Oreochromis niloticus: one gene and its partners. The protein of the gene in region 3 interacts with the protein of the main gene of each other region in a pairwise test. Links are inferred from orthologs where the notes say so. Each region holds a gene or a part of one and is shown on either strand. Other genes may lie near its edges. The genes, in order: ehhadh, nek6, necab2 and ccdc146.

The links.
Region 1: the proteins of necab2 (region 3) and ehhadh interact in binary tests that used the Homo sapiens proteins (3 or more experiments, as listed by UniProt). The two-hybrid records come from large-scale screens. The link is inferred for Oreochromis niloticus from reciprocal best matches to the Homo sapiens genes NECAB2 and EHHADH.
Region 2: the proteins of necab2 (region 3) and nek6 interact in binary tests that used the Homo sapiens proteins (3 or more experiments, as listed by UniProt). The link is inferred for Oreochromis niloticus from reciprocal best matches to the Homo sapiens genes NECAB2 and NEK6.
Region 4: the proteins of necab2 (region 3) and ccdc146 interact in binary tests that used the Homo sapiens proteins (3 or more experiments, as listed by UniProt). The two-hybrid records come from large-scale screens. The link is inferred for Oreochromis niloticus from reciprocal best matches to the Homo sapiens genes NECAB2 and CCDC146.

The regions. Positions count from the first base shown.
Region 1 is NC_031987.2:14,329,828-14,337,167, forward strand, and holds the start of ehhadh (peroxisomal bifunctional enzyme), read right to left. Parts: upstream 3,001-7,340; 5' UTR 2,859-3,000; coding exon 2,785-2,858; intron 1,521-2,784; coding exon 1,417-1,520; intron 959-1,416; coding exon 789-958; intron 421-788; coding exon 309-420; intron 1-308. Other genes in the region: tmem41aa (transmembrane protein 41A-A), read left to right, coding at 3,291-3,472, 5,111-5,261, 5,738-5,899. UniProt on the Homo sapiens protein: Peroxisomal trifunctional enzyme possessing 2-enoyl-CoA hydratase, 3-hydroxyacyl-CoA dehydrogenase, and delta 3, delta 2-enoyl-CoA isomerase activities. Catalyzes two of the four reactions of the long chain fatty acids peroxisomal beta-oxidation pathway.
Region 2 is NC_031972.2:10,216,265-10,223,815, reverse strand, and holds the start of nek6 (serine/threonine-protein kinase Nek6), read right to left. Parts: upstream 3,022-7,551; 5' UTR 2,803-3,021; coding exon 2,757-2,802; exon of another isoform or gene 2,693-2,756; intron 2,624-2,692; exon of another isoform or gene 2,357-2,623; intron 1-2,356. UniProt on the Homo sapiens protein: Protein kinase which plays an important role in mitotic cell cycle progression. Required for chromosome segregation at metaphase-anaphase transition, robust mitotic spindle formation and cytokinesis.
Region 3 is NC_031972.2:7,361,194-7,368,530, forward strand, and holds the start of necab2 (N-terminal EF-hand calcium-binding protein 2), read right to left. Parts: upstream 3,025-7,337; 5' UTR 2,969-3,024; coding exon 2,642-2,968; intron 1-2,641. Other genes in the region: hydrocephalus-inducing protein, read right to left, coding at 4,774-4,884, 5,069-5,290, 5,383-5,556, 5,713-5,857, 6,139-6,303, 6,458-6,489. UniProt on the Homo sapiens protein: May act as a signaling scaffold protein that senses intracellular calcium.
Region 4 is NC_031981.2:8,528,347-8,535,321, forward strand, and holds the start of ccdc146 (coiled-coil domain-containing protein 146), read left to right. Parts: upstream 1-3,962; 5' UTR 3,963-4,148; coding exon 4,149-4,149; intron 4,150-4,828; exon of another isoform or gene 4,829-4,978; intron 4,979-5,147; coding exon 5,148-5,341; intron 5,342-5,667; exon of another isoform or gene 5,668-6,975. UniProt on the Homo sapiens protein: Essential for sperm flagellum biogenesis and male fertility.

The DNA of each region.
Region 1 (7,340 bases), on a different chromosome or scaffold from region 3:
GTCTTGAGACCTTAAGAGAGCTCTGCATCCTCGAATGCCAGCAAACCTCAATGAACTGAAGCAATGTTGTAAACACATGATGTGAGAGGCTGATAAAGTCAAACTATTGCCTCTATAGGTGGTTCTACATCCTACTGAATAGTTTTTCATTAGTTTTTAGCAGGACTGCTTACAGTGACATGTCTGGGTGCTTTCTTATCAAACGTTTTAGGACGTACTCTTCTTCAGAAACCAAAAGTTGCTGGCAGTTGCCATGTTTAGGAAACTTTATTCATCAAAGTCAGACAGTGTTAACTTCTTTCTGCTACCTGTGGTGATGAGGTCCAAGGCAGCCGGGACACCGATGAGCCTCGGCAAACGTTGGCTTCCCCCTGCACCAGGCAGCAGCCCCAGAGTCACCTCTGGAAGTCCCACTCTGGCCTGAAAAGACATAAAGGTACAAAATTTGATAAACGGGACGTACTGAACTGTGGAGGTTTAGACATTAGCGAAAACTGTTTCTGGGAATATTCTTTGAATATGATGTGTGTTATTCTGCATGGCTTCTGTGAGTGACATAAATATCAATTCTCAGCAAATGTATTCTGGACAGATAAGATTTTTTTTTACCTTTTTCAAGTCTGACACAGACAAACTGACTCTTTTTCTAGTCATTTGCACAATTTAAAAAAACATTATTATGCAAAAGCTTCACAACATGCAAGATACTGACAGACATCGATGCGTTTCATCGCTGACATTAAAGAGACACTGGCCGACAGGGACAGAGATCTGAAGCATGAACTAACTTTAGAGTGTGCAATCCGATAATGACAGCCAAGTGCCAACTCAAGGCCTCCACCTAAAGCGATCCCCTCTATAGCTGCCACCACGGGCTTGGAAGCAGCCTCGATGGCGTGGATCATCGGTATCAGGGGAGGCCCAGACATCTGTCCCCCAAACTCCTTGATGTCTGCTCCTGTTGCACAAATTCAAATTGACAAAATGATCAGGAACTTGGAGAAAGAAAGGTCATGAGAGATGGATATGCGGATCAGCAATTCATTATTTTGTGTGGGTCTTTTCTACTTTTCTCAACCTTGTCTGACAGATATATTTGGGTTTTAGTTGAGAAAAAACATTTTTCTCTATTTTTGATATTTTACAGAATGAAACACAGCAGTTTACTTCTGGTTTTGCACCTGCAAATGCCATGACAGGATCTGTATTGTTTACTGCATTACGAGTATGCAACAAATCACCTTTTAATGATGTAATATTAACATTAAATTAATAAAAAAATGTATAATAAAACTACTGAAAATGTAGTTGTAATGAAAATTGTGCTAAGTGGAAGAAGATGGGCAGACAGAGACACTTACATTATAAATAATATCATGGTACATGATTAAAAAAAACAAACAAACATGTCCATACCCCCAGAGAATATCCCATTCTGGCCACAGATGACCACAGACTTCACTTCTGGCTCACTGAGTGCTCTCTGCATCGAGTCGACAATACCTTGCCTCACCGCTGCACTGCATGAGAAAAAAGTCACAACTTTATTTGGCCTTTTTTTCACACTTTGTGAAATTTTAAACTTGACAGTAAATTGTTCTGCTGTGGCCCTTCTTCACAAATTTAAAACAAAAGCATGTAACAAAGACAGGCGGAGCAATATAAACTTTGATAATTAACATCTATGTACTTTCTTTTTTGATAATTTTAGCTTACGAAGCTACTAAAATGCATCATACAGTCTATTAACTCTTAAGGTACACATCAGTTAGAATAAAAAAAACAAGATGAGAAAATGTCTCTGTAAAACAGGGCAATGATAGCATAACTAGAGAGTAAATAGATTCAATTATTGCTACAGCTTAAATGACTTCAAGTAAACTTGTGAGGTCCAGTAAAGGTTCCAGGGTCCAGTAGATCATACTGTGGTTGGGTGTGTTTTTAGTGTGCTGTTAATTAATCACAGTTCTCTGTTGTAATGTATTAAGCCTCAAGCTGTTACTAAAGCAGCGGTGGTAATAAATCACCCTGAAGTAAATGCCGTGAATGAGATCAACTGATCACTAAAATGTACTTACAGGTATCAAAACCTACTGACTCTATATGCAGAAGAATGGCAGCTGCCAGTTTAGGAATAATCTGCATGATGACACCGCTGTACAGCAGTCTAAAAAAAGGACAAACTACAAAACGTTTGTGTCTATTTGTAAACAGGCTGTAGACACCAGGGTTTATGAAGCGGGTGTATATAAAATAAACAAAGGATCTGTTTTGCAAGTAGCGACGCTGCGCACTACATGATAAGCAATCCGCTTCTTTATGGCAACTTAAAATATCTTTATACAACTATTACGGTATTTGTTTTAATTTTCTAATCCCCTCTTGGCCAGATTTATTTAAAAAAACATTTTTAAGTATGATAAGTCTTTTTACTGGATAAATAAATGACATACAAAAGTCACTTCAACTTTGGCACAGAAAGACTTGATATCACTCATGTTTGACAGATTATGGTTCAACCCATTTACAACAGCAATCAGAGGATCACTCTCTCTGACGCCACCCTCTGGTAAAACACCTGAGTTACTATCTTCTGGTGCACAAAGCTTTCTTTCGTGATAATACTACTTGTTCCTGTGCAAGCTGCAAATTGCTGTTGCAGCTACAGCTCTACTGTATATAAAATCAATCAGGCACATGTTATTTCGCATTACGAGACACGCTAAAAGAAAGCAAATTGCAGTATAAGAAGTTGTGCAGACCAATTTCATTAAATCGGCTCACCTGAGTGCATTAACGGGAGGACTTTGGAGAGTAATCAAGCCCACGGAGCCCGAAACGCGAGTGTACTGAGCCATGGTGTCGAAGGAATACTTGGAGATGTCGCACTTCTCTTTTTGCTGTGCAGACTGAACTTTGAAACTTGACTTTAATCCAGTTAGCAACGCTTCATCACCTTTGTCACACTTCTTCCCCCTCCGTGTAAACAAACGCTCTTCTTCTACGGCAAACACTCGCGCTATCGCCCCCTACCGGAAGCAGAGTTTTTGAATAATTATTTTTTTCCCCGCCTTTTATATTATTGATATGTACTTAAATCAGATTAATAAATTATAAGATACACTTGTAGGTACTTGTGAGTTAGTAATTTGAATATTTTAACTGTTCTATTGACATGGGGATGTGACGTCACTGCGGCGGTTGGTTGCCGGCCGCTTCTTGCCGTTGTCATTCTCGCTGACAGCAACCGGGAGGTGAAGCTTTTTTCCGGCTATCAAACTCAGGGGAACATGCGCTCCCTCGTAGGACTAATTACGGTTGTCGCCGCAGCCAGCTTGTATCTATATTCCCTGTCCTTGTACCTCCCCGCGGGACCAAGAAAGCGTTCTGTCCGGAGCGCCGAGGCTGGACATGTGTCCGAGGAGCAACAGCAGCAGCCCGGCGACTCCTTAGAGGAAGAAGAGCCCAGCAGGTGACTGGTATATTTAGCCGCTGGCTGGTAACCCATTGTTTTGGGCTATGTTATAGGCTGTGCATAATTTAGCTTTATTTAAATTGGACCCCGCTGGGTCACTAGTAAGCTAATGTTAGCATGCAGCTCATAAAAAGACAGGCAGCAGTATTTGCTGGCTTTTAACCTCCTCTTCAAAAAGCAGTGACTCTAAAAACTGTCTAACTGAAGCCTCTTTTGGAAAAGCTAAAGTTAAAATAGCAAGTCCAGTTTTTGCTTCAGCTTTAACACGTGTCAAGGTTGTCATTGGGTCATAATTGACAAGTGTTGTGTTGTTGTTTACTGTAGAAGTTTAATTTGGGTTTAATACAGTAGATTAACAGTGTCCAGCTCTTCCTGCATTATATGGCGTTTATCTGGGCCCAACTTTTTTTTTTTTTATTTCACTGCACTGAAGTGTAGTTTTGGTAATGCATGAAAAAGAACAAATTCAAAGCTGTGTCATCCCAAACCAAGTCACGATTTTTTCCCCCATATAAAAGGTGCACCAAGCCAGGACAGTCTTCGCCTAAATTACATGCAAAGCAGTCAAGTTTTCAAGTGACGTCCCATGTTTGAGTGAGGAAAACCCCTTATGGTATTTGTGTCATTCAGATACGTCATAGAAAGAGGTGTAATTGGATCCACGTATCATTCATTAGCCTAAGTATTACTTACACTCTTTAGGTACACTTTTTGACTGCTTGTTAACACAAATATCTAATCAGCCAACGGTGTGAGTGGCAGTTCTCTGTGCTGTGAGAACATGGCTTGTTCTCACAGCATATCAAACCCTGAAGCAGATGGGCTACAACGGCAGAAGATTACATAGGAACAGGAAACAGATGCTGGAATTCAAACGGGTTCATTAAAATTGGACAACAGCAGATTTTTCGGCACCCTTTGGGTACCTCGGTATCAGCTGACCATTGTTTAAACACCACAGCTTACCTGAGTGTCATTGTTGACCATGTCCTTTCCTTTATAGCAACAGTGCATCCATTGTCTTCTTCCAGCAGAATAACGCACTGTGTCAGATAAACTAAATCTGGTTTCTTCAACATGAAAATGAGGTCATTGTACTCAAATGGCCTCCACAGTCACCAGATCTCAATCTAATAGAGCACCTTTGGGATGTGGTGGGATGGATATTTGCATCCATGGATGTGCAGCTGACAAAATCTGCAGCAACAGTGTGATGCTAACTGTATGAGTCTGTCCCACAAAGAATGAACCTTTCAAAGAAACTCACTTCATTCTTTGTACTATCATGGCAAAATCAATGAGTGGCTGGTTATCTTGGATTGAAGTGAGATTTGTCAATAGTAAAACAGATGGTAGTTAGAAAAAAATGCAGTTTTATTTAAATAGCTTAGTTTTTTAAGTGACGTAAAAAGACTGTTTTGGTATCAGTTTTAGCAGATAAGTATAGGTATCAAACCATGTTTGTAGTCCCCGCAGAAGCCACATGGGTTACTCTTTCAGCTATTTAAATCTAAAAGTAACTTTAAGTTAAAACATTTTTGATCACAATGATATTTTTTCTGTGCTGCCGGTCTTTCTGTGAACATGAAGCTGGCCTGACAGAAATGACTAACTTAAATGTGAATGTTCTCACAGGTTAAAATTCCCTTCAGACTTGGAGGAGCTGCGGGAACTCGCTGAACTCTTGCAGTTCTACAAGACAGAGCACACTGGATATGTCCTGCTCCTCTTCTGCAGTGCTTATCTCTACAAGCAGTCCTTTGCTATTCCTGGATCCTCATTCCTGGTAAGGTAATGTCCTGTGTACAGATCCAGGATGATAAGGAAAGCATTGTGATGAGCACAAAACTGGTAGATTTCTTATGCTGGCTGTCTTAAAACACATGTAAAATCCTTGTAATGAAGCATTTTGTATGTTTAATTACATTACGAGAACACATGGGCTAAAATATGCCAAAAGTGTCACATCTTGTAGGTGTGAAAAGATTACATTTGCATGCAAGATGAAGGAAAATTCGAAAGGCACTTGGACAGCATGCGGCATGCAGCTTGTGTCTCTTGTTTAAATAAATGCGGAGGATAAAAGAATATTCAGATAATGCAAATGACAATCTGAGTGGGCAGAACTGCCAAAATACTGGCTTCACACCAGTGTTAGACCACAAAGTATTTCTCTCCTTTCGCATGTAGAGACGCCACAGAGCTGTGTGTCAGATGATGCCTATTAACGCGGGCTTTTGGTCTCCATTTGTCATTGTGTAGAACATTCTTGCGGGAGCTATATTTGGACCCTATCAAGGACTGCTGCTTGCCTGTGTGCTCACAACTGTGGGCTCTACGATGTGCTTCCTCCTCTCCCAAGTCTTTGGAAAACACTACATTGTGAACCTCTTCCCAGATAAAGTCTCCACGTTACAGAGAAAGGTACGACCGGGCTGTCACACAAACAAAACACACTGAAGGAAACAAATATAGAAAGCTTTTGAAATACCGGTGGTTGTTCTCTCAGAGAACAACTGTTAATTTGGCCGTGTGTGCTGTAAATAAACAGTAAAGAGGGCTATGCTTTATCTTATTTACAAAAATCAAAGGTTTTACCTGTCAAGCTATTATTACCAACAACACTTCCTACAAGGAGACATTGGCCATATCATATTATCACTTTAGAAATCCAGTATACTCATTTCTACACATAGAATCTGATAAATCAGTGACTTCTTGCCCTTGAAACGGAAGAAATGGTTGACAGATGTAATTTTAGACTCTGCTGTCAAACGTGTAGAAGCGACATTGTTGTGTTCCCTCATGAAGCCCAGGAGAAAGTTTGACACAGAGCCAGCCATAACCTAAAATTTCAGAGATAACGGCTACCACAATGTCAGCTTTCTTTGTTAGGTAGGCCTTTCTGCTTCAGGCTGTATGTGTGCTTATGTGAAAGGGGGTGTTTGCTACATCACTCTTCTTGCTCATAAAATAGATTGAGTCCCACCTACTCCAGTCATAGACACCTGTAGAGGAGCAGGTGATAGAGATCTGTAAAGAATATGAAATATGTAACCACTAAAGGCAATACTGCTGGCCCAAAAAAATAAAAAATAAAAAGCCAACAGAGCAACACTGGCAGGAAGTCATTAATCTTGTGAATTCGTGAGTTTACGTGTTGTTGTTTTTTTTGTTTGTTCGTTTCTTTCTGACAGCTGCACATTAGACTCTGAAACCTTAAACTCGATCCACTTAAACAGCTCTGTCTCCATCTCACCATCTGATGACCGAGACGTGGAAATCACTTTAGTTTGTTGCCAAATGAAAATGTAATTAATTAGCTATTAAATATTTTGGCTGATGAATATCCTACAAATAAATCCTAAAAATAGGTTAAAAGATCAGCTGGTCTATGTTTAACCTGCGGCTTAAACAGTGTGAAACAGACTTGGCAGCGCCTTAGGATGAAGCATAAAAGCATTCTGCGTAAGAGTGCAAAGAACTCTGATTTTCAGCTCAACATACACTATATTGCCAAAAGTATTCACTCATCCATCCAGATGATTGAATTCAAGCCAATAGAACTCCTCTGGGATGAATGAGCGCGGAGACAGGCCTTCCTGTCCAACACAGTGTCCGACCTTACAAATGTGCTTCTGGAACAATGGTCAAAAATTCCCGTAAGCGGACTCCTTAACTGTTATATCCTTTTCAGACAAGATCGGGTGTGCTCAGGGTTGTATGGCTGTAAGCTAAGGTGCTAAGGGTGGGCCGACATCATATTAAGCGCTATGGATTAAGAATGGGATGTCACTCAAGTTCACGTGTGTGAAGCCAAACGAGCGAATACATTTGGCATTATGTCATTAAGCTATTAATTTTG
Region 2 (7,551 bases), about 2.9 Mb from region 3:
GCTGTTATTATTTTCCCTATTTGTCAATGCTGGTACAAACCCTGTTCGTGCTGTATTGATTCCTTTGCTAAGGATTTATTTGTCTTAGCAAAGGAATCAATACAGCACGAACAAGATTTATTTTTCTTTTAATAAATGTCAAAAAATCAGTTTGCTTTATTTTTCCAAACTATACACAAGGTAATTGTGTGTGTCTGTATTACACAGCAAGCTAAGGAATTATGCATGTGACACAGTTTAGTAATGAGACCATCTACAGTGGTTTATGTTTTTGTGTTTTTCTTCTTATCACTCACTAACCAAGCTCCACAGTTAAATATGTTGGTATTACTGTTTGCAACAAGCAATACTGAAAGCTTGCTGATTAATTACACACATTAAGCATGTAAGCACGTTTTGTGTCAAAACATTTGACTGGTACTGTAAGTGAATCAGTAATGACATGTTTAAAGATGTCAGGGGTAAATTTACTTGCCACGTGCACACTCCTACATCATTATGATGAAGGCATTGGGGTTCAATCATTTGCCCAAAGACACTTCAACATGCTGAATGGAGGAGTGAGGGATTGATTGATTGGTGGATGACCCGACTCAACCCCTGAGTCACAGCTGTATCGTTCAATTTAGCAGTGTACATGTCACATCCATACCCAACTGTGCAGGCTGAACAGCATATAAGAGCATTTTTATAGTTTATTACAAGAATCAGTTTTACTTTCTATGGATAGTTATCCAAATCATAACAACTCTTGAATAGGGTAATTTTTTTTAATGACTCATTCACCTAGATACTGTACTTAATTGCAATTTGGAGTCATTAACTCAGTTTTCTCCAGTTACAAAAGGACTGTTGCCAGGTTTGGGCAACAGGTTTGGGTCCTGTGGTGACTACAATAATTCAAGCCTTTGTTCTAGTTTTACTGGAAAAAAGACAAAGGTATTTTCAGACCATCAGATCACTAAAAGTGACTCAAAGTAACTGCATCTCTGTGTCTGCTAAGTTAATATGACTAGATGAGTTATTTTAACAATTTTGTACCTTCTCTCGCAACTTATGATTCTAATGAAAACAAACCAAAAGCAAACGTTTTGGATCAATTGAAGATTTTTTAAGGAATTTTCAAAAACAATCTGATAATAACTAATTATAATAGTCCAGCCTAGAAAGTAATAAATGTATTGCCAAATGCAAATATGACATGCTTGGAGCAGATACCAACTGATCACTGTAACATGGTCCATGCTAATCATGCACTAATCAGGACACCTGATTACCAGAAATTAAGAAAAAGAGTGAATAGCAGAATAAGCTGTTTGGCATTGGCAGAGTTTGGCATTTTCATCGGCACAACTATGCTACTCAACCCAAAAATGCATTTTTGCTAAGTTGTATGCACATATGTTTTTGACTTTTTGCACAAGTGTCAAGGAATACCCGCACCTGTGAAATGAAATGCATTGCTTCTGATTATCTTTTTTCTCACATGGAGCTTTTGACATAAACATAACTCTTCATGTAGTGAAGAAGAACATGCAGAGGGTTGACGAGACATGCTAAGGTAAGACGGTGGCATCTGCTGTGGGGACCCCAAAAGGGAGCAGCCAAAAGAACAACAATCTGACATAGCTGCCACGCCCTCATATGCCAGCAGAAAATCGTTGTTGATTGAAGTTGCTCAATGTCATTGGCAATCTCTGGATGCCACATGACTATTAGTCGCTTCCTGTATAGACAGTCTTACTACTCAACCTTTCCCTTCATATTCAACAATGTCGAGTGCTCTATGAAACTATTGCCCATTAGCTTTTGGCTACTGTTGGTAAAACAACAAAAATAAACTTAATTGGGTGATCTCAACAGGTCACAGTGGTTTCACCTAAAACTTGTAGTTGTAATGACCCATGCCTTTTTTTCACACCTTGACTCATGTGATGAGCATATGATAAACAGTGGGTCAACAAACGTCTTAAAGGACAAACCCCAATACCTGGTACTCTCCAACATTTGGTTTTAGAACTGCAAAAGCTCTTGGATGAGAGCTGAAACCTCTTCAAGAAATTTATTGTCATTGTTATACGGATGTGTTTTGTTTGGAGGGGTTGTTTTTTTTATATAATGACAGAGATGCTATCACATAATACACCCAGTGCCACATCTCTGTCCTACCCAATTACCTCACGTTGAATTGTAATTGATTAACTTAATGTATAAACCAAATTGGTCTAAGTCAAAAGTACAAAAATTATATTTACAGGAAGATAAACCAGGAGCTGCAAAAGTTACGAGTATTGCAGTGGTTTCCTGTTGTGAAAGAAGAGCCTGCAGAGAGGAGAATTAGCCCAATAACACTCACCATTACTTCATTTAGCTTGAGTGACAGGTCGCCGATAATTACTTTAAAGTGGCAATGGAAACATGGAAATGAAATGGATGTGAATTTCAGTCCAAGTGTTCTGCTGCGTGCTCTTTTCCGGGCCTGGTGCAGCACGATTGTTTGAAATAGAAAAAAATATAATAATATGTTTAAACTATAGACCAGGAATCTATAAGGTCTCGTTTCTGTCCGGGTAAGCAGCACGCTAACGTTGCTGCTAACTAGTTAACTGCTACGAAGGTTGTGCAGCTCTCCAAAATGAGGCTGTATCCTGTTCCATGACGCGTTTTATGATTCAGCCACACATGAACTTACTGAAGCGAGCTGCTGCACAATCCTGCGAGCTGCCACCGTCTCCTTACTACTGACTGTGTCTTACCTGAAGAGGAGTCAGTAACGTCCTGCTTCGTGAAGGCCTTCCACATTTTACAACTTCTGTTAGTTCGTGTTGTTGTGCAACTCCTCACACCAACAGTGTGAGTCAGACCCCCGCCCCCGAGTGTCTCTCAATCGCCCCCCGCCCCCGCTCGCTGTCCAGCAGCTTGTTCAATAGAGCTCGCTGATAACTGAATAACAGAACGATACGACAAAGTTTTCAGTCTCTGGTTGCTAAAGTGGACGCGAAATTGTGGGTCAGTAGTCTCCGCGCCCTACTTTTTCTCTCAGTCTCCTGCATACGGGATGGGGCTTTTTTTTAGAGTCTGGTCTGAAAATAGATTTGTATAAATTAACATGTTGAAACGAAAGAAAAAAACGTGGTGGCCGTTTGACAGATGAGATTGAAACGGAGATGAAATTTCTATTAAAACGTTAATCATTCGGGGAATTAAAAAAAACAACTACAAAACAACAAAGCAAGGAAAAACATACTTTAACCAGTTCGGGTCTGTAAAACAAAATTACTAAAGCAAAATTTTGTATCAAAATTTTTTAAAAAAGAACACCTGAACACACACACGTGCATACATTTTATAATTGTTTATTTATCAAGCATATTGAATCAAATTGAGTTAATATACATTTATCCTTGTGCTGTTTTATGTTATGTTGTGTTATTTATTTGTATATGTATTTTTGATGCTTTGGCAATAGTATTTTGGCATGGTTATTCGGGTCAGTGTTGTTTGTTTGTTTGTTTGTTTGTTTGTTTGTTGGGGGTTTATATATTTTTTGCCTCTGTACACCACCACAGTGGATTCAGCATCAATCAAACATCAATATGCGATTGGAGTGCAGACTTTAATTACAGGGCTTTAACAAAAGAATTCAAGGAGATGTTGTTGCAAATCTTATGGTCCAGGCTTGCAGGCTGATACAGAACTAAGAATAGCGACAGAGCCAGACTAGTTCAAGCTTCACCTTTTTGTCTCTGCAGTGTGAACCACACCCAAAACATAATTAAACTAAAACAACCTGACCAGCATTTATAACAAAAGGGTTGTAAACTTAGAAAATATATACATACCTAACCTTAACCCTAACCCATTGCAGAGTAAAAGAGATTATTATTTTTTTTATCAGAGCATAGCATTGATTCTGTTAAACTTCTAAGATATTGATCTGGTCAGGTAAAGTAGCAGAAGGGGTCGTTAATTCAGCTGCTTTGTTAATAAAATTAACAACAAGTGCACTAGTGGGGCAACAATGAGACAAATCTCAAAACTAGAATGATTTTAAACTAATATTTTTTCCCCTCCTCATCTTTTTTGACTGTTTGGCGGTATGGCACATCAATACATGCCATTGCCAGAAGATTTCAAGTGTCTCCCAGCACAGTCTCAAAAGCATGGAGGAGATTCCGGGAGACAGGCAGTTACTCTGGGAGAGCTGGACGGGGCTATAAAAGGTCCTTAACCCAACAGCAAGACAGTATCTGTTCTTTTGTGCAAAGAGGATCAGGATAAGCACTGCCAGAGTCTTATAAAATGACCTCGAGAAGCCCACTGGTGTGAATGTCTCTGACCAAACAATCACGAACAGACTTCATGACGCACAAGTGCTCGATGCCATCTAGTAGGGTCTGTGCTTATCGTCCAGCACCATGGAGCCCACTTGCCATAGAATATCAGAATTGGCAGGCCAACCACTGGCACCCTTTGCTTTTCACAGATGAGAGCAGATTCACCAAGAGCACATGTGACAGAAGTGAAAGGGTCTGGAGAAGCTGTGGAGAATGTCATGCTGCCTGAAAAAGTTATGTGTTTGGTGGTGTGTCAGTGATGGTCTGGTGAGGCATATGCATGGAGGGACGCACAGACCTCTACAGGTTAGGCAATGGCACCCTGACTGCATTGGGATGAAATCCTTGGAGCCATTGTCAGACCCAACGCTTGTGCATTGGGTTCCTCCTGCCCCCAAACTCACCTGAGGTATTTCTAATAGAACGCCTCTTGGACATTATATTTTGGTTCAGTTTGTGGGGCAGTGAAGGCCTGGTCCAGATCTGGGAGGACATCCCCCATGATACTGTCTGTTATCATAGTAGGAGGATGCCCCGATGTTGTCAGTCATGCATACAAACATGTGGAAGCTATATAAACTGCTGAATACCACTTTGAATTGCAGCAATGAAATTTCAGCAAAAACAGACTAGTCTGTTGCATCAGTTTTTTCCTCTTAGATTTTTGGACTGTCTTTGAATTTAGCCCTGTGTAGGTTGATAATTTTCATTTCCATCAAACAATGTGGCATCCTAACAGATTATCCAGTCCACATCAGCATAGATATCCAGTGTAATTTTTTTTTCCTATTGAGGTCTGATGTGTTTTCAGAAGGTTCATTTAAATATTTTGAACAGTTTAGAGAATAGTAGAACAAAGATGTAAACTTTGTGGGAATTTTTGTTTGATCATTTTTCTACTTTGCTCTAGTGTTTTGGAAAAAACATCTTCACTATAAGAAAAAACACAGGACACACAAATCTGCTGTTTTTTTGGAGCATCCGCCCCAATTTTTTCTCTTGTTAATCCATGTAGCTGTCATTTTCATTTATTTTCTTTTTACATTACATTACATTTAAAAACAAAATGTTTGTGACATAAATAATATAATTTATCTTTTAGATTATTTCAAAATTAATATTGGTAGAAAATATTACTAATTTATATTAAACTATAAATTATCTCCAAAATTGTTTTTAATTATTAGCTATAAAACCTCAAAATGATGTAATTAACTGTACTGGAGCTACCGTTACAGTAAATGCTGAGTAACAGAAACTTTATCGGCTACAGCACCACGCGACCCAGTCGTCTTGTACGTATTGTGGAAGCTGTAGTTTCTAATACTAGGTAGAGGTATGTTATAGACATTCACGTCTTCTACTTAAAAGACTACAAATCCCAGGAGCGGCACAAAGTGGAGCGTGACTTACGCATGGAGAGTCACCATGGCGGTGTACTGTTGTGTGTGACGGGCAGCTTAGCTTGAGAAAAATACCGAGTGACGCGTCTGCGTACTGCCTGTCTGCTGCCAGCCACGGCGGGGAGACTAAATACAGGATGGGGTCTCGAATCAAGTAAGTATATTTCTCGGTGCGTTAGCTAAAACTGCTGTGTTAGCAGTGTTCCACAGAGTCACAGAGAAGATATCGTAGAGTATGAGGCCCTGGCTTGTTGTGACACAGGCTAAAAACACTGACGGGACCTGGAAAAAAACAAAAAACAAGAACCTTTTATTTATATATTTTTAATGACACTGAGGTGTACTAGTAACTCACAAAGCTTTCCGCGCGGTTAGTGGTGACTGACAGTGAGTGGATATGTAGCCACTGTAAGCATGGTAACTGTATTAGATGTTTTTTTCCCCCCAACACCGGATGCTACTTTTCAGGACTGAGAAGTGCAGCAGAGACGATGACTGCATGCTACTCTAGTGGCATGATAGAAAAGGACAGCTGATCTATAGATTGGCTTTGGTATACAGATATGGTGTATTTATGAGATTTATATCATTATAATGACAGATTTAGTAAGAAAATTCCTGCACTGTGTTGAGACACCATATTAGTAGGGTGATGTGGAGGCCCTACTTTGCCTGCTTTTTAAGAACAATCCTTGCAGTTGGGGCTGGATATCATCACTGATTACTATAAGCGATTCAATTTCAAGATTTCAGTTCGATTCAATTTTAAGTCAGACAGTCAGACATATTATAATTATGATCATTTATCAGTATATATCCATATACTTTTTATTTTTATGTTTTATAGCTCAGCGTTTTGCAATTTGGCATATTTTGTAAAAGTTTACACTTATTTGGTATTGAACAGCAGAAATTAGGCTTTCTTGTAGGAGGTCATTTAAAAAAAAAAGTCGACAGCACTGTACACAACGGTAGACTGGTGCCTAATAAGCAAGCAAATAATGCAGAAACACAAATTTTTGGTGGTAAACTGGAAGTACACCGAGGGAATTTATGACAATATTTTTCAAATGTGAAGCGTAGTTTTGATCTTCATTTGCTGCTTTTTCTGTGAATTTTGGTTGGAGGGTGACAAACCTGCAGCTTCAGAATCTGTGAGATGTCGGCTTTTAGCACCCGATGAGGTGTCCGTGTTCGTGCCGCCGGGTTGCGCTTTGCGTTTACATCTTTCTGTGGAGTGTGTTTACCTGCTATTTAATCGTTTGGGGTTATAACTCTTTGGTGGTTTTTTGAAATAGTTTTGTGAGCTTTAAGCTGAGATTCTGGTGTTTCTGGCTAAATAAATATATTTAAAAATCAGTTCAGGATTTAATGAATCGATATCGCATTATTCAAACTAAAACTGATTTGAATAGGAAAATCTATTTTTTAAACCCACCCCTTCTTGCAATCCCTAAACTTTGGGGCGATGTGTAAAATAAAATAAAAAACAAGACATAATGCATGGTCTATAGCTAATTTAAACTCTTTATTTCATTGGATAAATGATGTCATCTGACAGAAAGATTTCCGCTGCTTTGCCTTGTTGACCGTGTCTGGCGATATGGATGATGAGGAACTGTAGATCTTTGACATATTTCTCAAATGTGCCAAACCCCTGTATGGTGGACAGATCTCAACATATGTGCACAGACACCATGAGAAACGTTAATAGTACAGTACAGTGCTTGCCAGAAATTCCTGCAGCCCCTTCAATTTTGGTGTAGGCCACTTTGCAGTGTCCTTTACCAGTTTTCTTCCTTCATCTTTTT
Region 3 (7,337 bases):
CAAATCAGGGATGGAAGCTCTCACTGATATCATATGGACCCGGGAGTAGAAGAAACTGAGTTTTCAGGGAGATCTGAAGCCTGGCTTTTGGATTACAGTGATTAGTTGCCCATAATCTGACCTCATGATTTGAAATTTTGGCCATGTTTAATCTTAATTTACACCACAGATTATGTGGATGGCATTTGAATGTGTGAAGTAGACATATTTATTTTAACCACATTTGAGAACAGAACTGCAGAAATATTTATAAATGGTCTTCTGCAATAACCTTTGCAACTGCCAGGAAAGTTCTAGACTTACTTCATACTTTCCTCAATAACGCTTTGTGTAAATGTCAAAAGAAAAATTTCACTGTTTAAATCGGAATGTATTAAAATGGATGAGCAACCATTTTGATTTCTTCATGGTCTGGCTATTTTTTGAAGCAAAAAATGACAGCCGTTCTGTTTCCTGGTGCCATAATGTGAGGATTTTAGGCTTTTCCTTATCATATTTAGCATATTTGCTTACATTAGTTAGAAATATACAAATGCTAATCAATCCATTAAATGATTTGTAGACATAACAGAACAAATAATGAATTTACAGTTAGTTGCAGCCTTAATTTCAAAGTAATCTAAATAGTGTGGTCAATAATCATGAATGCAATTTGAAAACTTGAGGAAAGGTCGCACTTTTTAGTGCACAAACTGATATATAGATTCTTGCACTTATGAGCAGGAGGCATGTTAAACTCTAAATAAGTGGTGCATTCACACAGCAACTGCAGCCATCTCAACAGGCCAAAGAGAAAATCATTAACTGCTGAGACGAGTGGCGTTCCAAATGACAAGCTGCTCTGCATTGTTCTGCTTTCCGGCTGCACCCTGGGGTGCACTCAACTCAACAGAAAAGAGCCAACTCTGGAGCTACTGGAAACAAACAAGCCTGGAGAGGAGGCAAAGTGTTGCGATGAAGAGGCGGTGTGTGCGTGCGCGTGTGTGTGTGTGTGTTTTTGTAAAGAATCGTAACAGAAACACAGAGTGAGAAGAAAACGAGCGACAGCAGAGGAGAGAAGATCCGGCAAAATAGAAAAAGAAGACAGAGGCAGAGGAGAGTGTTGCATCCATCTCTAACCTTATTAAGAATGTATGTTTCTGGGCAGGGGGGAGGGCAAAAAGGATATGGAGGAAATTAGGTGAGGAGAGAAGGGAAGGAAAAGGAAGAGACAAAGGATGAAAGGAATTTAATGAATAGCGAGAAAGGTACAGTGGGGTTATGATGCAGGCGAAGACTTGAACAGTAAAGGAAAAACAAGCAGGCTGAGGATCTAATGAGGGAAGCGCTGCCCGCGGGCACATGCGCACGTGCAGAGCAATCACTCAAACCTCTTTGGTCTCGACTTGTTCACCACAATAATAACGCTGGAGTCAATAATATTGGAAAATGAAGAAACGATTAACATTTCAAAGTTGAAGACGTTGCAGAGGGCTCAAGAGAAAATACCAGAATGAGTTCACAGCTGATATCAGGAAGTCAGCCACTCTGAGAGAGTATGGCAGATTTCTAACAGGGAGTGAGAGGGTGAAAAAACACCACAAAAAATGAAGCAATCCAGGACCTTTAATCAGAAAATGAAAATATGAACACATACATGCATATACAATGACAACGAACCTCTCCTCAAATATAGATATGAGTGCAGCACAGTTTTTTTGTTTGCTTGTTCACTTACAAACACTTTTACTGTAACATCTGTCTTAGCGGACAGTTGCTTGGCTCAACGACGCAGCAAACTAGGCTACACCCCTTACAACATCCTTTACACACAAACACAGACAGAATGAGTTTACTAGGGTACTAGGATACATTGGTGCAGTGGTTTTGATCATAATTAGTTTTCCATGGACCCCCTTCTTTACCACCCTATCAGATTATTTAGGTCTGGGTCAGATTTTGCAGAAGCTGAACTACTTTCTCTTTTGTTTTTTACCCTAATAAAGCAGCATCAGCAGATCTCCTGGGGAAACATTTAGAGCGGCCAAGATGAAAAGTAACCCAATAGTATTGATGAGTTGACCCAAATCAGCACTGCGCTAAGTGCCACTTTTAATGCAGGAAGGCTGCTCCGTTATCAGCTGTCTGATAACAGAAAGACATTACATCGGGAGTGAGAATACTAAGCAGTGGCTGTAAGGAATGGATCAATAACAATATGGTAGTAAGACCTTCTCATGAATAATTAAATAGCAGTCATAAAATTGGTGTGAGCGTAGCTACTGCACGTTGGACTGACAGTAAAGCCAGGAGTAAAAGTAAAGCTGCCTCTCGACTATAAATGCGTGACTTTTATTGGTGATGAAGAAGTGAACAAAGACGCATAAGAGAATATTGCTTAATAAGATGCAATAAAAGTACAGTGAATCTTTTGGATGGGTCATTCAGAAAAGATATGGAAACTGAGCTCAGCGCGTTGAGGCTGCTCCCGGGCTTCCACATTCATCACCAAAGTGTCAAATCTTCCGCCTACTCTACCAAGCCACGAGTATCTGCGCGTAAGTGCGCACTGCACCGGTCCGTACGCGCTGTTCACTGGATGTCTTCATCCCGAGCACCCACCCGCCCTGCACCTGCCAACCCGGTGCATTTCTATACTCACATCCAAAATAACGGAGATGCCTCTCCGCGGTTCCGGAGCGAAGAACTGCTCCTGAGCCACGGCCACCTCCTCCTTACTGGAGGCGTACTCCCGGCTGGAGATGTTCTTGTTGTCGCTCATTTTGGTGACGATCCAGCGGACGAGCCCGTCGATTCCACCGGGCTGGGCGCCGCTGTTTCCGGACTGCGCTGCCGTTGCGGACTCGCTGTCCTGACCGGCTACGGGTTTCGGCTGCTCGCGGCTTTCTTGGGCTCGAAGTTTGGCTTGTTCTTTGTTCAGCAGTTTGTGGACTCCGTCCCTACAGTAGCGCGCTGCCTGCTCACACATCCTTTTGCTGCGGAGCGCTCATGCTGCGCTCTATGGGGGAGAGAGAACCCCCACCCCCACCCCAGCTCCCCTCTTACATCACAGCACCCACCCCAAATCACACCCACCCACCCTACAGAGCCCTATCTACCCATACGTGCTTGTAGGCAGATATTTAACAGCTTTGGAGATTTAAGTGAGTTTATTGCACTTTTTATTTCAGTGTTGTTATCAACGCTTTCATATTTCTAAGTGCTAAAATGTCTCGCCTTCAGTGCTAATACTTTTCTTACTACAGTGTAAAAACACATGACTATTTTTTCATGGTGTTGTAAAATAGCAAAGTTGCAGATCACTTTGAACTATCCGAATCTGACTGGAGACCGTGGCACAGTTTATTCCTTCCACAGTGACAACAGGAGGTGTGGGCCAGCAGTCATGTGTGGCAATGGGTGGATCAGAGGATTTTCCACATGGAGTAAAAAGGAGTCATTAGAGGATCAGTGTTATGTGAGAGCTCTAACCTTTGGTAATGAGCGACTCCCCCAGCTTTGCCCTTTCCGCTGTACTGTTGTCTTCCCCGTAATGTACCATGTGTTTAACAGCACGCAGAGCATTCTGGATGAATTCAGTCACGATGCAAAGTTAACAAACAGGTTATCGCGATTACCACAAGGAAGTAAAGTCAGGCGTGTTATACATCTTGCCCCATCGCTGGAACATAAGAAAGGGTCAATCACTTGACACGATTGCCCCCATGTGGTAAAACATGTGCAGTGACGTGCCTGGGCAAGTCTTATATGCAGGATGTATTGAGTTCATTATTAAATATTTACCAACAGATTCGTGACAGCCACTTATTTAAATCACACAAATACACAACACATTCTGGCTTGAACATTTTGGCAATTAAATGGCTAACAGGCTACAGAAAAATAACAAAACATGCAACTGAAACATACGAACATCCAGCAATGAAGGCCTAATTTCTTAAGTGCATTCATGTTTACATCTATAGTCAATCTCTCTGTGTCTGCACATGTCTCTAAGATAACTGAAGACCCTTCAGATAATAGACGCGTGAGTATGGCCTCCTGTGGCCTTCGGAGTGCCGACTGGAGATGATCTAGCTGCCTAACCATGGTCCTGGAGAGCCGTCTGAAGGAACCTCAAATGACACCAGGATTTTCGGGGTCTCTTTGGATTGAATGTTGCCCCCTCCATTGACAGTAAAATGGGAGTTGTCAACCTAGACATGAGCAGGGTTCAAGTTACGTCAAATCTGAATAAGAGACATGTTTAAATGAAACATAAATTGAATAGAAACATTTTATAGATGCTGAAGATGTGAAAGCTGCGTTTAATACAAGCAGGAGTACAATTTGTCTAAACATAAGCCAGGTTGCACCACTCTGCACACTGCAATCTGTTCCAGGCTAAATTTAAATCATCTTGCTCCGTGTTGGCTGGCAATGAACCCAGTGCAAATATTTAAAGGAAATGAGCCTTAGTAAAGCATCCCTATTTTTAATAAGAGTATTGGCTGCCTGCAGGGTGTTTGTTTTAGAATGTTGTAATCATTGTCAGCTATGTTGATAAGACATTTTTAACTTTCACTCTTTGTTCTGATTGTCTTATAGTGCCGACTTTTGTAAATTCTACTTGCTCTTTACCAGAAGAGAGAAAGTGGTGGTCTGCAGGAACACATTCTTGAAGAGGATAATGACGTTCCCACCGGCTTTGATGCTGAACGGGCCTTGAGGTTTGAGTAGGGGAAAGATGTATTCACCACCAATTACTGAAGACAGGCTTAGCTGGCCTCTTATTTACCCCAGCTGATAAGGCTTGAAACGGACCTCCATGCTGGCCTTTGAGCCCGAAGGGAAACCTGGTAATGTGCTGACATTCTTGTCTACAATAAAGGCCGGACGGTCAGTCTGGAGGACAGAGATAACACAAGGTGTTTGCAAGTAAATCAACTTTTTGTGTTGACGAATTATAGAGAGCAGATGAGAAGGAAGCCTCGGTGATGAATGCTGACACTGACCACATGTAAAGTACTGTTGCTAGAATAAATGTACAAAAAGGAAAGAAAGGGCTATTTGTTTTGCCACTTTTTACCTTGCAGCAGTACTCGGTTTTGAAGCGTGAGTAGTTGTTAAACATTACAGTGACAGAGTGGCTGCTGCCCAGCAAAGTATTGTCCACAGATTTCTCTGGTGGTGGGGGCAGAGCTCTGAGAAGCAGATCGTAGTGGAAGTGGCCCAGCTCATTGCTGAACAAAGTTAGACGGGCAGTAGACTCGCCTGGATGAAGAGGCATGTAATGAACAGTCAAAAAAACCTGTAAAGAAAAGACACACACATATGCCAGCAAGAGTCTGTCTGTGGCCACACAGTTTTTTTAATGTGATGGCAGATGTACTCATTATCTACCTTGGACTGTCCTGGCACACTGTGCTGAGGTTGGACGATGATGCCAAGACATTTACACTCCTTAGTGAGGCAGGCTGTCTGGGTCAGAGGGTTCTCTACTTGAATAGTGGCCGAGGCCACCTGACGAACAGGTGTCCCCAGCTTGATGGTGGACAGGACTCCTGGAGATGTTGCCTTTGAAGATAACGAGGTAGAACAAATACTCGCCTGTCTCATCATTAATGAATGTCACCCAAGGATAAAGATAAAAGGATGATGTGAGAACAAGGCTAAAAAAAAAAATAGTCATCCAAGTCTGGATGTGTATGCTTGAGTAAACCGTGGTGTTACCCTCTGTGTATGTAAAAAACAAAACAAAACAAAACACTCGTAGTCCCTCTTAGCATGGGCAGGGACATCAATAAACTTGATTTCCTTGAGGGACACTGTAGCATCTGGCTTGTCAGGCTTCACTGTCTCTAGACACACAAGGAACCTGACAACACAGATGAGTACACTCATTGCTCTGTTATACATCTGTTGCATAATTTGCCAGGAACTATAGATTTCCATATTAGCACAAAAAAAGCTTTGCTTAACTGGGATCATTTCCTACACTTTACTTCTTACTTTCTAGTAGAAAATTTCAAAATGTAAAATTTTGTGTCATCTCAGTTTAGACAACACAGTTGAAACTAGTTGGTGATTTAGCTGCTAAGGAGAGACATATCACTTAAGAGCAGCTCAAGTGTATATAGTTCCCGACTAAGTGTTTACCTTTGTTGCCTAGAGAGCCAGTTGTGCACAGGGAGCAACAGTGTGTGGAGAGTTTTAGCAGGTAGCTCATGCACAAGAGTGTCCCCTGCCACAGGAGGATCAGCAGCTCCCTGCAAGGTGTACAGCACACCTGTCCCATCGGGAAAGGCAAAAAAAGGCAGATCCCTGAGGCAAGAGAAAGGATAAACAGAGATTAATTAAATTGTTATAGTTACATAGATAGTTTTATTATCTGTAACCTTTTCAATATTAAAAAGTATTAAATATACCCAGTTTTTCAAATAAATAATAGATTGTATTTAGATGGTGGCTCTTCTACCTGGTGTTTTTTCCAGGAGCAGTCACGGTCATAGATCGGGAGGTTATTGGGAATGCAGTTCTGGCGCGGCTTGAAGGTCACAAAGAGTGGAGAACTCCAATGCTTGCCCTCAATGACAGGTTTGATGGTGCAACACTGGATTGTGGGGCTGAGGACAGACAGGGTCTGTGTGTGGGAGCCACGAACTGGACACACAGAGCTCACCACCTGGACACAGAGACAGGGTGACAACAATTACTTGATCAATGTTACAAAGGTTATACTTTCAAGGTCATTATATCATCTTGCTACATTGGATGTTGTCAGCAAGAGAAATCTGATCAAGCATAGGGTTTTATCCCAAACACAGAAATGAATCTTTGCATTTATGATAAAATTAAATTATCTGTAACTCATTCTCAAGATAACATAACATGAGAAATTTCCTAAAGCATTTTCTCAGAAGTACTCAGCTAATTGAAACTGACTAATAGTTTTTACAAATCCTTAAATCTGTCAGCAGCTGCTGCCTGTTCCAAATGAGCCAAATCAATGTCTTTCATTACCTGATGCTGGCCTCTAACCATTCCTACAATGAGTCAAGGAGTCACAGTGCTGACAAGGCACCTTTTAGATTTTATTCCCTCTGGAAAAGCCTCAAAATCAATACCCAGATAACTAATCTTTTAGCTTTGTTGACTGTAAAAAGCTTAAAATCATCATCAACTCAAAACAGCATATATGTTATTGTTTTTCTCATATTACTCAACACTGTCCTTTTCCCTTTGGCACAATTACAGTGCAGAATGGTGAAGAAAACAGAGTCAAACCTCTTTGCTAGTGTAGGCCATGATGCAGGAGCCAGTGACAGTGAGGGTGACAGGCGAAGAAGAACCCTCCA
Region 4 (6,975 bases), on a different chromosome or scaffold from region 3:
GTTCAAAACTTGTCTCCAGTCGTTGTCTACAAGGCTATTGGACAAGAAAAAGCTAACAGCACACTAAATGTACAGACAACACACATTGAGTGTGTGTGTCTGTGTTAATTAAGTTATTTAGAAACAGTTTTCCAACAAGGAAAGCGAGGGTTGTGGTGGTGAAGGGTTTTGTAAGATTACACCAAATCCCCAAGTTGCATTTGTTGTGACTACAGTACTGCAATAAAACAGAGGTCTGGAGTCTGCATGTTGCATAAAAGTCACTTTTTCCTATGGCCTGATTTGTACGTGGGCTCTGGAGCAAACAAACACAGATGGGACATGCATGCACATTGTGCGACACCCACGGTAACATTGGTTTTTCACCTGTTTTACAAAACCGCAAGAGAGGAGAAGCAAATACCCCTGGTACCCCGACTGTGCTCGGATTTGCTGTCAGCATAGATTTTGTTTGAGTATTTCACATCTTATTCAGGTGGATGTTTATTTTCCTTCACACAAGACTAGCATCGATATCCATAATCCGATCTTGATCACTTGCACATAGTGTGTAATCCTTGTTTCTGCCTTGTTAAGTCCCCCATGTTGCCTGACACAACATGCATCATCAACATCTGTTGTAGATTGTCGAACTTTACAGGAGTTACTTTGAACTGTGGTGAAAAAAAAATCTAACTCATAAATCCCCAGCCAGCAATTATGGTTAGGTTGATGAGAAGACATGGTGGAACAGACTTTTATAACATGTGTAGTCAGCATATTTTGACACTTGAAAAGTTAGTTACATCAGCAAAATATGAACAAAGTCAAAGGAGCCCCCCCACCCCCAATGTAAAGCACTGACTAGCTCAACAGCTAAAGAAATGTCAGCTTTATGCACAAATATCCATCATTCCCACAATACACGGCAATCCTGATTTATTCATCCCAGAACAGATTATTTTTGGGTCATGTTTTATTTACCCAAATATGGTGTACTTAGGGACATTTTTTTTTTTAAATACCAAAATAAACTAAACCCTTCCAGGACTGGAGAGATAACATATCCAGACTGTTGGAGGCTTTTCAAGGTTAATTTGGAAATGTGGCTGTGTCAAACATGAGGGGGTGGTTATTAAGTTATTGACATGTTTGCTTAGCAAGTAAGCTAAAAAGAGAATTTTGTTCTCTAAGGGGCTGCAGGTGGTATTATCCTTCATCTCTCCAGCTTTTCACTTATATGGGCTATGCTGTTGTCACTGATCCTTTCCCCTGTTTTGTTACATCTGTAGCAGAAAAAAATGTCACAAATTGGAAAGATCTCATTTTAGCTGATGACTCTGAAGACAAAAAAACCCTTGAATAACCAACTTTTTATCAGTTGATGGGACATGATGTTGAAATGAGTAACAGGCAAATTTGCTGCTGTATTGATGGCAGTGAAAAGTCTAGTACATATCTGAATGTAAGTATTACTGCATAATTGAAGGGGCAGCTTCTGTTTGTGTGCATTCACTAACTAACACTTACAGGCTGCTTCATGAGTTATGCCTGTTCAACTGCGTCTTATATCTAATCAGCTCTGTCACATGGCAGCAACTCAGTGTGTTTGAATATGCTCAAGACGACCTGCTGAATTTCAAACTGAGCATCAGAATTGGGAAGAAAGCTGATTTAACTGACTTTAAATGTGGAATGGCTGTCGGTGCCAGATGCTGGTTTGAGAATTTCAAAAACTGCTTATCTACTGTCAATTGCTTGCACAGTCACCTCTAGGGTTTGCAGAGACTCATCTAGAAAAAAGGAAATATCCAGTGAGCAGCAGTTCTCTGGCTGAAAATGCCATTTGACTGCCAGAGATCAGGGGAGCTTGCCCAGACTACTTTGAGCTTGATAGGATGGCAACAGATAAGTACTCATTATAACTAAGGCATGCAGAAGAGCTTCTTTGAACACACTGCAACAGAAGACCACACTGCGTGGCATTCCTGTTAGCTAAGGACACGAAACTGAGGCTGCAATTCACACAGCATCGTCTATTGTTGCTGACCATTTCCATCACTTTATGATACACTGTACTCACCTTCTGATGGCTGCTTCCAGCAGGATAACACACCATGTCACAAAGCTCAGTGTTGTGTATCAGTTTTATGGTGTATTTTTTCCACTCTGGCTCCTGAAGCTGTCTTCCTCTTCTTACCTGCAGTCCATTGGCAGCAATCAGCCAGGCTGTACTTTGGGACCAGCTCAGTCCTCAACATTCTGGCAGATTGTTAGCTGATGGTGTCATCTTTGGCCTTGGATCAGCAGTCACACTCTTCAATCATTCTCCTGGTTTTCTCTGACACTGGTCTTCCTTGCCTACTGGCTACCTGTCAAGCACTCACCTGCTGGCTTTTGCTGCTCACTCCTCCTCGGCTGTCGGGAGCAAAAAGAAAAGGTAAGATACCTCACCTGCCTGCCCTTCTGCTCACTGCTACGCCCCATCACTCTGAGAAAGAAAAGGAAAGGTCAGACATCTTGTTTCACTCATTCAGTCACACTCTCTGACACTCACCTGGAAAACCACATCACCGTCAGGAAACTTGGCTCTCTGCGACCCCAAGTAAACAACCATTCATCACTCATCTTTGTAAATATTCTCACCTCAATCCTGTGTGCAGAAATGATTCATCACTGCCTCTGCAATAGTGGATCGCGCTCCTGTGAAGCCTCTCACTGCCCTGTTTTAACTCCAATGATCCCTGTGTTCAATAAAGTGTTGTGAATAAGAAAGAAACAGTCTACTGAATCTGCGTTTGGGTTCTCTTTTGAATTGCTGCTGTCTGTCTGACACTCAGATCATTTTTAAACTGGGGCCTTGAACATGACAATAAGTTCGCTGTACTCAAATGGTCTCCACAGTCACCAGACCTCAATCGAATAGAGCACCTTTGAGATTTGAGATTAGCATTATGAATGTACAGCCCACAAATCTACAGCATGTACATAATGCTATCATGTGAATATGGACCAAAATCTCTAAAGGAATGTTTCCTGCATTGAATCTGAAAGCAAAATGATGTCCAACCCTACTAGCAACATTTACCTAATAAGGTATATATGTGTGTTGTCAGGGCTTTGCATCTCCACTGGGTGTACACATGGCATTGTGAATGCACATGACTGCATTACTATTCCAAATTTATGACTTTTCTAGACAAAAAAAGAACTCACACTTAGAAGATGAATTGGTTTTTGTTTGTTTGTGGTGTGTGTGTGTAGCCAATGGACATGTTGGACATGCCAAGTAAGTGTAAAATAAAATTCAACAAATAACAAATGTTTGAGGATTGCCAAGCCCCTAAAGAAATGAAGTCCAAGAAGGTTTCTCTTTCCTGGTGCCAGTAAACTCACAACTTTTGTAGTAATATCACATCCTTTCCTAATGGAACATCTTTAACGGATCACATACCAGCATGCACACGCACATACATATACTGCTGAGACAACACATCTCAGCAGCTGTTGCCGGGAATAAGTTACGGGTCATGCCACCTCCCACAGTACAATGTGGGGAAAAAATTTTCAACACCACAGGAGAACAATGGCTTTGAATCACTGCCATCTTTCACCCTGGATATCATTTTAAGGTTTTCAACACTCACCAGTTCAGGGTGTTCAGCCAGCTGGCCACTGATGTTGTTCCATGGAGCCAATTTCATTACACACGGCGATTACGCGCTAGAGATAAAAAGGCTTAATTAACCTGTAATTTAACGCCATCTGCTGGACATGCGCTGCAAGTGTAAAATGAGTTGTTGTTTTTTTTAATTCTCGGATTGAATGAGGTCCGTTGGGATTTTTGTGTATTAATAAAACAGGAGAAAACGGTAGATAAGTAGAAAAAATAACCATAGCTTGCGCATTACTTTTCAGTAGAGGTGAAATTCGAGGCTTTCTCCTTATATTAAAGTGGACGTATAGCGTCGTTGTTATGGTAACCACAACACACCACGAAAGTGAAAAGTCGGTGATTGGGTTTTGCTGAGATTGGCTGTGAAATTATTTAAATATATATATTTTAAAAAGGCCTGTGAAGACTCCAGAGATATAAGAGTAAGGAATGTGTTTCCTAGTTTATCTAACAAACACCAAAAAACCGGACACAGCAAGTAAACTGGCTAATAAGTAAGTTTCTGCATGCTTTAATTGAACAACACACTCGTTGCTGTATTGTTATGTCGTATACACCTTTTTGTATCACATTAGCCCATTTTTTCTATTTTTATGGCCTTCTCGTGTGCTTTAACAGAATTTAGAAGCAGAAACTAAGCTGGAGTCGCTTAGCACCAGTTATAGCCGATAAGCTGTCATAATTTGGTCTTTTTGCGTTTTTCGAGAAAGTACGCTTTCTGTGTGACGTTTAGAGGTCAAATAATATACATCATCTTAAAATGTTTTGAATATGTTTAAGGACAGTGCTCACAAATTACTTTGTGGGATCTACGTTTAAAAAAATATTTATTGATTTTGATTTCCGGCGGAAGCGTAATCCTTCAGAATAAAAGCAGGCTTTTGCATGGCTAATTCGGTGTATTCCGCACATACAATACTTCTATTCATCCCTCCATCCTCTTCCGCTGATCCTTCTGAGCGTCCCAGTGGGGCTGGAGCCAATGCCAGCTATCATAGGGCAAGAGGCGGGGTACACCCTGGACAGGCCGCCAGTGTGTCGCAGGACTAACACACAGATATAGACAACCATTCACACCTATGGGCAATTTAGAATTACCAATTAACCTAACCCCATTAATTGCATGTGTTTGAACTGTGGAAGGAAGTCGGAGTACCCGGAGAGAACTCAAGCAAACACGGGGTGAAAACATATAAAAACCACACAGAAAGGCCCCAGCCAGATAGTGGAGTCAAACTCAGGACCTGTTTGCTGTGAGACAACAGTGCTAGCCATTGCACCGCTGTGCTGCCCACCTTTAGTCATATTATGTTTTATTTATTGGTAAGCAAGCATAGGGAAGGGCATTAAATGTTGAAACTGTGTGCCAGGACTTTGGTGTAACAAACATTTAGATATTTTCGGATTCCTGTCCCACGCAGCTTGTGGGATACTAATGTTTGTTTAGTGTGTTTCTGTCCTAAATATTATTATGTTTTGATCCAATCATTAGTGAATCCATCCGAGGAGGAGACAGAATGCAGGCCTCAGAGTGCAGAAGTTGAAGTGGAAGAGCAAGATGAGGATAAGGGAATGGAGGAGGACGCCCCTCTAGTGGCCGTTGCACCCGATGCGTCACTCCCAGAAAAGCAGCCCTCAACCTCCAGTGAAGTCTCTGCTAGTCCTGCCTCCCAGTGTTTAGATGAGGTAACAGTCATGTGCATTGTTGTGTTGTTATTATTTTGTGAATGGCATTTTTAAATTGTTTTCAGAAAGATAAACATCCCTATTTGATAGTTATAGTGAGAGATTTAACTCCCATAACTCAGAAGAAAAGAAAATAGTATCAGATATGATATAGATGCATGTATTTGCACAAGGCTAATGTTCAGGACTATTATTTCCTCCATTCTTTTGCAGTTTAATTGCTGATATCAAAGTATTGCACATACATAATGTGCGATAAAGTGTTTGTCATAAACATTAAGTGTAAAAAAAAAAAAAGTGAATATTTAGGACTTGAAGTCATCCTGTGAATGAGCACAACACTTTTATTAACTTTATCATCACAGACAGTAAACAGACAGTAAAGTCACAGTCCCACAGTTTTATCATCTTCTGTGAAGCCGATATGAAATCTGCCTTTTATTTAGTGGCTTTATTGGTTCAACACCTCGTAAACCCATTTGTTATGGGCATGCAGCACCTCATCCTGCATTTTTACAAGCCTCATTCAGCCTCGGACACTAGACGGCAGACACTTTCAAAGACACTCATGCGAAACTTGTATACAGTTTTTGTATACATTCATTTGAAAGGCGATTCCAGTACACAAGTGGAGCAGGCATGAAAAGGATTTTAAACCGATGGAACATTGAAATCTGCAACACAGCCATGGAATATTAATTTTATTTTTTTCCCCAATATAAAAATTGCATATCTTTTGGCACAAGAGCTGAATATGAATGATAGAAAAGATCAATCTGATACACACAAAGAATTTCAATTTTACGCAGATATTTACTATGAATGATCACAATTATGCCCAGTCCTTCTCATTACTCAAATGTCATCAATCATTAAACTCTGTACTGCATGACCATTGTATCATATAAAAGCTATCATACCTCTCAAAGTAAAATAAATACTGTACACATCCTCATAATGAAGCATTTCTTTCCCCAATCCTTCCCATTTACAGTGTGTATAAAATGAAATAAATGGTGCTATACAGTTTCCTAGCATTAGATAGCAGTATTGTACAAGAGGAGGATTTTACAGGTTATGGCAAAGAGAAGTGTGCAGTAATTCGGTGCATCCAAAGGTTGGAAACACATTTTTTTTCCTCACTGCAATGTCCTGCTTTGTGGCTGCTCTCAAGAAGAATCTAGTAAAACATCAATAATGCAGAATGCACACACATACATGACTAGAAATTTATTGGATGCTGCGTATTTATACTGGGATGTCTTCTGTGGTATGGGATAATGATAAATCAGCAAGCTGACCCAGAGCAGTGAGATAAATGCCAGAGAAGGGCCAAGTAAAGCTATACATTTATTACTGGCTGTAATTTTTCTAACAGTTTGACTCTCCAGCTTGAGGTCTTTCGTAATGATTATCGGACCCACTCAAAACTGTATCATCAGCTCTCGTATACCTCACTTGGGTGGCTGCTGTTAATTACAAAATCATTTACAGCAGAGAAAGTGATAGCTCATTAGTTTTTACTACTAGTATGTGCTGCGCTGTGTTTCTACGCTGGGTTTATGGCAGGAGGCAGCAGGACAGAAAGAGAAAAAAAAATGTCTAAGACCAGTGAAAAAATCTCTTCTGGTAAC